Linked DNA regions of Macaca mulatta. Each later gene encodes a partner of the first gene's protein in a complex. Links are inferred from orthologs where the notes say so. Each region holds a gene or a part of one and is shown on either strand. Other genes may lie near its edges.

The links. The genes of interacting proteins can lie anywhere in the genome.
Region 2: GTF2E2 (region 1) and POLR2G share a complex: the UniProt entries of both Homo sapiens proteins name them as parts of the TBP-based Pol II pre-initiation complex. The link is inferred for Macaca mulatta from reciprocal best matches to the Homo sapiens genes GTF2E2 and POLR2G.

The regions. Positions count from the first base shown.
Region 1 is NC_133413.1:32,393,535-32,397,095, reverse strand, and holds part of GTF2E2 (transcription initiation factor IIE subunit beta), read left to right. Parts: intron 1-2,160; coding exon 2,161-2,268; intron 2,269-3,561. UniProt on the Homo sapiens protein: Recruits TFIIH to the initiation complex and stimulates the RNA polymerase II C-terminal domain kinase and DNA-dependent ATPase activities of TFIIH. Both TFIIH and TFIIE are required for promoter clearance by RNA polymerase.
Region 2 is NC_133419.1:11,297,802-11,302,060, reverse strand, and holds the start of POLR2G (DNA-directed RNA polymerase II subunit RPB7), read left to right. Parts: upstream 1-1,451; 5' UTR 1,452-1,542; coding exon of another isoform or gene 1,543-1,555; coding exon 1,556-1,567; coding exon of another isoform or gene 1,568-1,701; coding exon 1,702-1,811; intron 1,812-3,099; coding exon 3,100-3,259; intron 3,260-4,259. UniProt on the Homo sapiens protein: Core component of RNA polymerase II (Pol II), a DNA-dependent RNA polymerase which synthesizes mRNA precursors and many functional non-coding RNAs using the four ribonucleoside triphosphates as substrates.

The DNA.
Region 1 (3,561 bases):
GTGTAATGGCCTATGTCCACCACTATAGTTCTCAGGGCTCTGCTTGTTCATCCTTCTCTCCCCTGCAACCCTTGGCAGCCACTAAACTTTTTTTAATTTTTAAATTTTTATTTATTTATTTATTTATTTTTGAGACAGAGTCTTGCTCTGTTGCCAGGCTGGAATGCAGTGGCTTGATCTTGGCTCACTGCAACCTCCGCCTCCCGGGTTTAAGTGGTTCCCCTGCGTCAGTCTCCTGAGTAGCTGAGACTACAGGCACGTGCCACCATGTCCAGCTAATTTTTTGTATTTTAGTAGAGATGAGGTTTCACCATGTTGGCCAGGATGGTCTCAATCTCCTGACCTTGTGATCCTCCCGCGTCGGCCTCCCAAAGTGCTGGACTACAGGTGTGAGCCACTGCATCTGGCCTGCAGCCACTGAACTTTTTATTGTCTCCGTGGTTTTTGTCTTTTCCAGAATGTCAGTAGTTGGAGCCATACAGTATGTAGCCTTTTCAGATTGGCTTCTTTCCCTTAGTAATACGTATTTAAGGTTTCTCCATATTTTTTTCATAGCTTGATAGCTCATTTCGTTTTAGCTCTGGATAGTATTCCATTGTCTGGATATACCACAGTTTATTTACCCACTCAGCTACTGAAGGACATCTTGGTTGCTTCCAGCTTTTGGCAATTATGGATAAAGCTGTAATAAGCATCCTTAGTGGATTTTTGTATGTACATAATTTTTTGGCTCATTTGGGTAAATACCAAGGATCATGATTGCTAGATTCATCAAATGGTAAGAGTGTATTTAGTGTTGTAAGAAACTGCTGAACTGTCATTCCACAGTGGCTGTGCCATTTTGCACACTCTTCCTGTTCCTTTGCATCTGCTCTAGCTTTTGGTATCTACGTGTGTGTGTGTGTGTGTGTGTGTGTGTGTGTGTGTTCATTGGATAGGCATGATACATATGTGTTTTAACTTATTACTTTGTCCTGGACATCTTTTCAAATTAGCACATAGAGAAATTTTACATTTACTTTGTGAACATCAGTATAGTGGAATGGATGTGCTGTGGTTAATCTATCTTCTGATTATGGACACTTGGGTTATTTCTAATATTTTCTTTTTATAAACAATGCTACAGTGACCATAAGTCACTTTTCTTTTCTTTTTTTTTCTTTTTTTTTTAAATTTGAGTTGGAGTCTTGCTCTGTCACCCGGGCTGGAGTGCAGTGGCGTGATCTCAGCTCACTGCAAGCTCCACCTCCCGAGTTCACGCCATTCTCCTGCCTCAGCTTCCCGAGTAGCTGGGACTACAGGCACCCACCACCATGCCTGGCTAATTTTTTATATTTTTAGTAGAGATGGGGTTTCACTGTGTTAGCCAGGACGGTCTTGATCTCATGACATCGTGATCCGCCTGCCTTGGCCTCTCAAAGTGCTGGGATTACAGGTGTGAGCCACTGCGCCCGGCCCGTAAGTCATTTTTCTATGTGGTACTGGTATTTCTGTAGGATAAGTTTCTAGAAATAGGATTGTTTGGTGAAAGTTGAGTATCTTTTCCTATGTTTAAGGTCATTTTTGTAATCTGCACGTTTCTGTCTTTGGGTCATTTTCTGTTTTTTTTTTTTTTTTTTTTTTTGAGATCTTGCTCTGTCTCCCAGATCTCAGCTTTCTGCAGCCTCCTTCTCCCAGGTTCAAGCGATTCTCCTGTCTCAGCCTCCCAAGTAGCTGGGATTACAAGCATGCACCACCATGCACGGCTGATTTTTTTATTTTTAGTAGACATGGGGTTTCACCATGTTGGTCAGGCTGGTCTCGAACGCCTGACGTGAAGTGATCCCACCTGCCTCAGCCCCACAAAGTGCTGGGATTACAGCCGTGAGCCACCATGCCTGGCCTATTTGTTAGGTTTTTGAAGCTCTTGAAATATTAGGAAGAATTAGCTCTTGGTGATATGAGTTGCATATATTTTTTGTCAGTTTATCTTTTTATTTTATAGAGCAATGAGTTTCAACTCCGTTCTGATTTCATAGTCTGTGGCTCTTCGTCACTATAATTATACTACCTGGAATAATACATGTTTTTCATTCCTGAAGATTTATGTACACGTAACTATGATTTAATGCATCTAGCATTTTAAAACTGTCTTCTAATAACAGTTTCTTCACTTGATAGACACGGCATCAGCGAGGAGATACGCATCCTCTAACCTTAGATGAAATTTTGGATGAAACACAACATTTAGATATTGGACTCAAGCAGAAACAATGGCTAATGACTGAGGTGAGAATTTAGTTGATTATCAAGAGAGATTTCCTGTAACTAGAATTTTTTTTTTTTTTTTTAGGCAGTCTTGCCTAAAAAAAGAGTCTTGCTCAGGCTGGAGTGCAGTGGCGTGATCTCAGCTCACTACTGACTTGGCCTACCGAGTAGTTGGGATTGCAGGCATGCGCCACAATGCCAGGCTAATTTTTGTGTTTTTAGTAGCGATGGGGTTTCACCATGTTGGCCAGGCTGATGTTGAACTCCTGACCTCAAGTGATCGGCCCACCTTGACTTCCCAGAGTGCTGGGGTTATAGGCGTGAGCCACCGCACCTTGCCTAGAATGTTTTAATATGGTGAAATCTGATAATGCTTTTTACTTTTTCTTAAAAGAAATGTTGTAGGGTCTTTGTTTTTTGAATGTACACATTTGTAAGATTGATTTGTTGGTTTTCACTTAATTTTATGTATCTATTTCAAAATGTTAAAGGTAAGACTTCTGTGTAAAGGTTGTAAAGAAGTCATTGTACCAGTTCCACTTATGTTTTTACAGATTAATTAATGCTTATTTTGTATTGCCAGATTTATAATTTGTATGCTTGTAAATTGAATTGTTTTTGTTTTAGAAAATTTAAAGCATAAGATACTGCAGGGATAGGAAGATATTTTGTTGCATAATTACTGCTCTTATGGCTTGATGTGGAAAAAAGTCGTGAATGCTGTGTATGAACACACACCATTTGAAGAAACCCCAGCACAGTCAGTGACCGTGCTAATTTGGAAATAAATAGCATTTAAAAATTCAGATGTTCACTGCTTTTGAATTTAAATGCGAAGTGAAAACTAAGAAGACTACTTTCTAGGACCAGAGAGAGATTCTAGAATCCAAATGTAAAATTCCTAACGTATAATTCATTTATTTTTTTACCACGCAAAATATAGGTCTTGACTTTTATAATGTAGCATGACCATTAATTAGCATAATTGTAGCTCATTGTATTAGTGATGTACAAACAATGGTAATCCACATTTAAATTTGCTGGTTTAGCTAACCTTGAGAGTTCATAGACTACCAACATATAGTTAACATGACTTTGATCATTTTACTATTCTATTCTCCCTTTTTTCTTCTTCCTGTGTTTCTTCTCTCTCTCCTTTCAGGGTCAGGCTGGCAGCTGCAGAAGAAAATATATAGGGTTGCTCTTTTTGAAGAGCTTTCCTTCTGATACTAGCTGTACAACAGAACTGACTAGAAACATAATTATATTCAGTAATTCCTGCATTCCTACTCAGTTTCATTCTCAAGCTGACAT
Region 2 (4,259 bases), on another chromosome or scaffold:
CAGACTGGAGTGCAGTGGCACGATCTCGGCTCACTGCAACCTCTGCCTCCCGGGTTCAAGCAATTCTCCTGCCCCAGTCTCCCAAGTAGCCGGGATTACAGTCGTGAGCCATCGTGCCGGGGGTATGTAACATTTTTTTAACAGAGGATGAAATAGTCATGGATTTCCTGCACTCCAGCCTGGGTGACACAGCGAGACTCCCTCTCAAAAAAAAGAAAGTGAATTAATCTATAATCTGAGAACAGAAGTTGTAAACTATATGTGACTCACAGTCATATCTCTCTCGAGGCTTAAAATGTTTTTTGGGATTGCAATAGCTTTTAAATTTTTTCTTTCTCTCTCTCTCTTTCTTTCGTTCTTTCTTAGTGTTGCTCTGTTGCCAGGCTGGAGTGCAGTGGCGCGATCTCAGCTCACCGCAGCCTCCGCCCCCCGGGTTCAAGCGATTTTCCTGCCTCAGCCTCCTGAGTACCGGCTAATTTTTTGTATTTTTAGTAGAGTCGAGGTTTCGCCGTGTTAGCAAGGATGGTCTCAATCTCCTGACCCCATGATCTGCCCGCCTCCGCCTTCCAAAGTGCTGGGATTACAGGCGTAAACCACTGCGCCCAGCCTAAATTTCATTATTTTCTGTAGCTTCCTGGCCTTTCGACTAAGGCTCATGTAAATTTTTTGTTATTTCTACACCAATTTCTGTAGATTATTATGAGAATTAAGGGAGATAATTATATAAAGGGCTTAACACAGTGTCTGGCATTTAGGAAGAAAGCAGTAAGTGGTAGCTATTATTTATTATTATTTTTTGTGATGGAGTTTCGCTTTTGTTGCCCAGGCTGGAGTGCAGTGGCCTCCCAGGTTCAAGCAATTCAGAGAGTTGCTGGCCGGGCACAGTGGCTCACGCCTGTAATTCCAGCACTTTTGGAGGCCGAGGTGGGTGGATCACCTAAGGTTGGGAGTTTGAGACTAGCCTGACCAACATGGAGAAACCCCATCTCTACTAAAAACACAAAATTGGCCGGGCGCTGTGACTCACGCCTGTAATTCCAGCACTTTGGGAGGCTGAGGAGGGCGGATCACAAGGTCAGGATATCAAGACCAGCCTGGCTAACCCGGTGAAACCCCGTCACTACTAAAAATACAAAAAATTAGCCGGGCGCGGTGGTGGGCGCCTGTAGTCCCAACTACTGGGGAGGCTGAGGCAGGAGAATGGCCCGAACCCGGGAGGCGGAGCTTGCAGTGAGCCGAGATCGCGCCACTGCACTCCAGCCTGGGAGACGGAGCCAGATCCGTCTCAAAACAAAAAAAAGAGAGTTGTGGTTTGATGGCCGGTGGGGGGGCGGGGCGGTGGTGAGGGGCGGGGCTTAGTGGTTCACGCCCACGGCTACAAGGCCCAATCAGACCCGTGGAGCAGGTGGAGTTCCGCCCTCGCGGAGGAGGTGGAGTTCCGCTCTCAACGTCGCAGCAGGCGCGGAACTGGGGTTGCGGCGGCTAAGTGTGTTTCCGGTAGATTCCCAGGGGCGGTCGGAGGTGTGGACTGTTCCTGCCTTCATGCTCTGGGAAGATGTTCTACCATGTGAGCAGGGCCCAGGGTGGCGGCAAGGGCTGGGTGGAAAGGAGGAGCAAGGCCAGGCGCCGGCGCGAGGCTCCCCTTGTCGTCTGATAAGCTCCCAGCGCGTGGCCTGGTCGCCATCCCTCTTTTCTCCGCAGATCTCCCTAGAGCACGAAATCCTGCTGCACCCGCGCTACTTCGGCCCCAACTTGCTCAACACGGTGAAGCAGAAGCTCTTCACCGAAGTGGAGGGGACCTGCACAGGGAAGTGAGTGCCGAGCTCACCGCGCCGCCAGATCGTTCGATGCGCACACGGGTCGCTATACCTGCAAACCATCCGCAACTCCTATTAGTCCTGCCACCCACTCTAGGGACCCCGCTCACCCTCTCAGGCAGCCAGTTGCTTCCTGCTTTGGGTTCCCAGGGCGCCCTCTGCAATGCTGGACAATAAGACTTCCTTCCCTCAGCTGAGATTGGTCATTCATTCATTTACTCCTCAGACATTTTAAAAACACTTGGTGTGTGCCAGGACCCGTGTTGGGCTCAGAACAAGGTAGAATGGGAACAAGATAGAATGAGGCCAGCTCTTGTGGAGCTCACAGTGTAGTCATTGTTCCTGTGTCTCCTCTCACTCTGTCATTCTGCTGGTTTTCTCTTATCCCCTGTGTCCAGGGACCACACACCGTGGGCCTCTATATATCTTCTGAATGGATGACCAGAAAAAGTGGATCGAAAGTTTGGGGGAGGAAGGAAGTAGACTGGGACTTGACCATCTCTGGGCTTTGCACTGAGGGCCTTCTGTGATATTAATGAGCTGGGACCCAGCCCAGGGCAGTGGAGTACTTGGGCCTCCAGCATCAGAAAAACCTGCAGGAACATGCAGATTCCTGAGCCTCCTTATTCCCTACAGAATCAAGACTCTGTGAGGCAGACCTGAGAATCTGCATTTTAAGAAGATGATTCTCAGGCATCCCGAAGATTGAGATCTGTTTCCTCAAGGACTCCAGCCTTCTTGTACATTTACTGTGAAATTACCAGAACAGCATTTGGTCTTATACATACTGATCTGTGTTCTTTTTTTTTTTTTTTTTTTTATGAGACGGAGTCTCGCTCTGTCGCCCAGGCTGGAGTGCAGTGGCCTGATCTCAGCTCACCGCAAGCTCCGCCTCCCGGGTTCAGGCCATTCTCCTGCCTCAGCCTCCCGAGTAGCTGGGACTACAGGCGCCCGCCACCTCGCCTGGCTAGTTTTTTGTATTTTTTAGTAGAGACGGGGTTTCACCGGGTTAGCCAGGATGGTCTCGATCTCCTGACCTCGTGATCCGCCCGTCTCGGCCTCCCAAAGTGCTGGGATTACAGGCTTGAGCCACCGCGCCCGGCCCATACTGATCTGTGTTCTGTCTTCTCTTGGTCATTAAGCTCTCTGGGAGCAGAGGTGCTATCTACTTGTCCTTTTGCTCTCCCCGACACTACTCCCAAGAGCTCAGTGACTTTTATTGCAGATGTCTCTAGAGGCTCTTGGACACACAATGTCTTTCTGTTTCTCATCCTCCTTGCAGGTATGGCTTTGTAATTGCTGTCACCACCATTGACAATATTGGTGCTGGTGTGATCCAGCCAGGCCGAGGCTTTGTCCTTTATCCAGTTAAGTACAAGGCCATTGTTTTCCGGCCCTTTAAAGGGGAGGTCGTGGATGCTGTTGTAACTCAGGTCAACAAGGTGAGACCATACGTAGGGGAGGCATTGGGGTAGTCTCTCAGTAGATCTGGGTTGGGTCCTGGCTCCACTTCATAACTGTGCCTTCAGCTAAGTCACTTTACTTCTTTTTTTTTTTTTTGAGATGGAGTGTTGCTCTGTCGCCCAGGCTGGAGTGCAGTGGTGCCATCTTGGCTCACTGAAACCTCTGCCTTCTGGGTTCCAGTGAGTCTCTTGCCTCGGCCTCCCAAGTAGTTGGGACTAAAGGCAGGTGCCACCATGGCCGGCTAAGTTTTTGTATTTTTTTTAGTAGAGATAGGGTTTTGCCATGTTGCCCAGGCTGATCTCGAACTCCTGAGCTCAATCTGCCTACCTCGGCCTCCCAAAGCGCTAGGATTACAGGTGTGAGCTACCACGCCTGGCCATCACTTTACTTCTTGTGCTGCACTTTCAAATTGTATGGTAATCTTCCCTGCCCAACTCAGAGGGCAAGAGTCAACATTAATAGTCATAACAATAAAAGCCTGTGTTGATTGAGTAGTGACTGTGGGCCAGGTGAAGTGCAGAGACTCACAATGACTAAAAGGTGGGTGCTTTCCTTTTTTTTTTTTTTTTTTTAAGATGGAGTTTAGCTCTGTCGCCAGACTGGAGTGCAGTGGCACAATCTTGGCTCACTACAACCTCCGCCTCTGGGTTCAAGTGATTCTCCTGCCTCAGCCTCCCAGGTAGCTGGGACTATAGGCATGCGCCACCACGCTCAGCTAATTTTTGTATTTTTAGTAGAGATGAGGTTTCTCCATGTTGGTCAGGCTGGTCTCAAACTCCCGACCTCAGGTGATCTGCCTGCCTCAGCCACCGAAAGTGCTGGGATTGTAGGCGTGAGCCACTGCCCCCGGCCAGTGGGTGCTTTTTACAGAAGCTGAAGCTTAGAAGAAGTTAAGTGTATTGGCCAAGATCATGTGGCCAACAGGTGTTCAAATCTTGGACTAACAGGCCTAAGCTCTTTAATACTTTAAAATGAAAG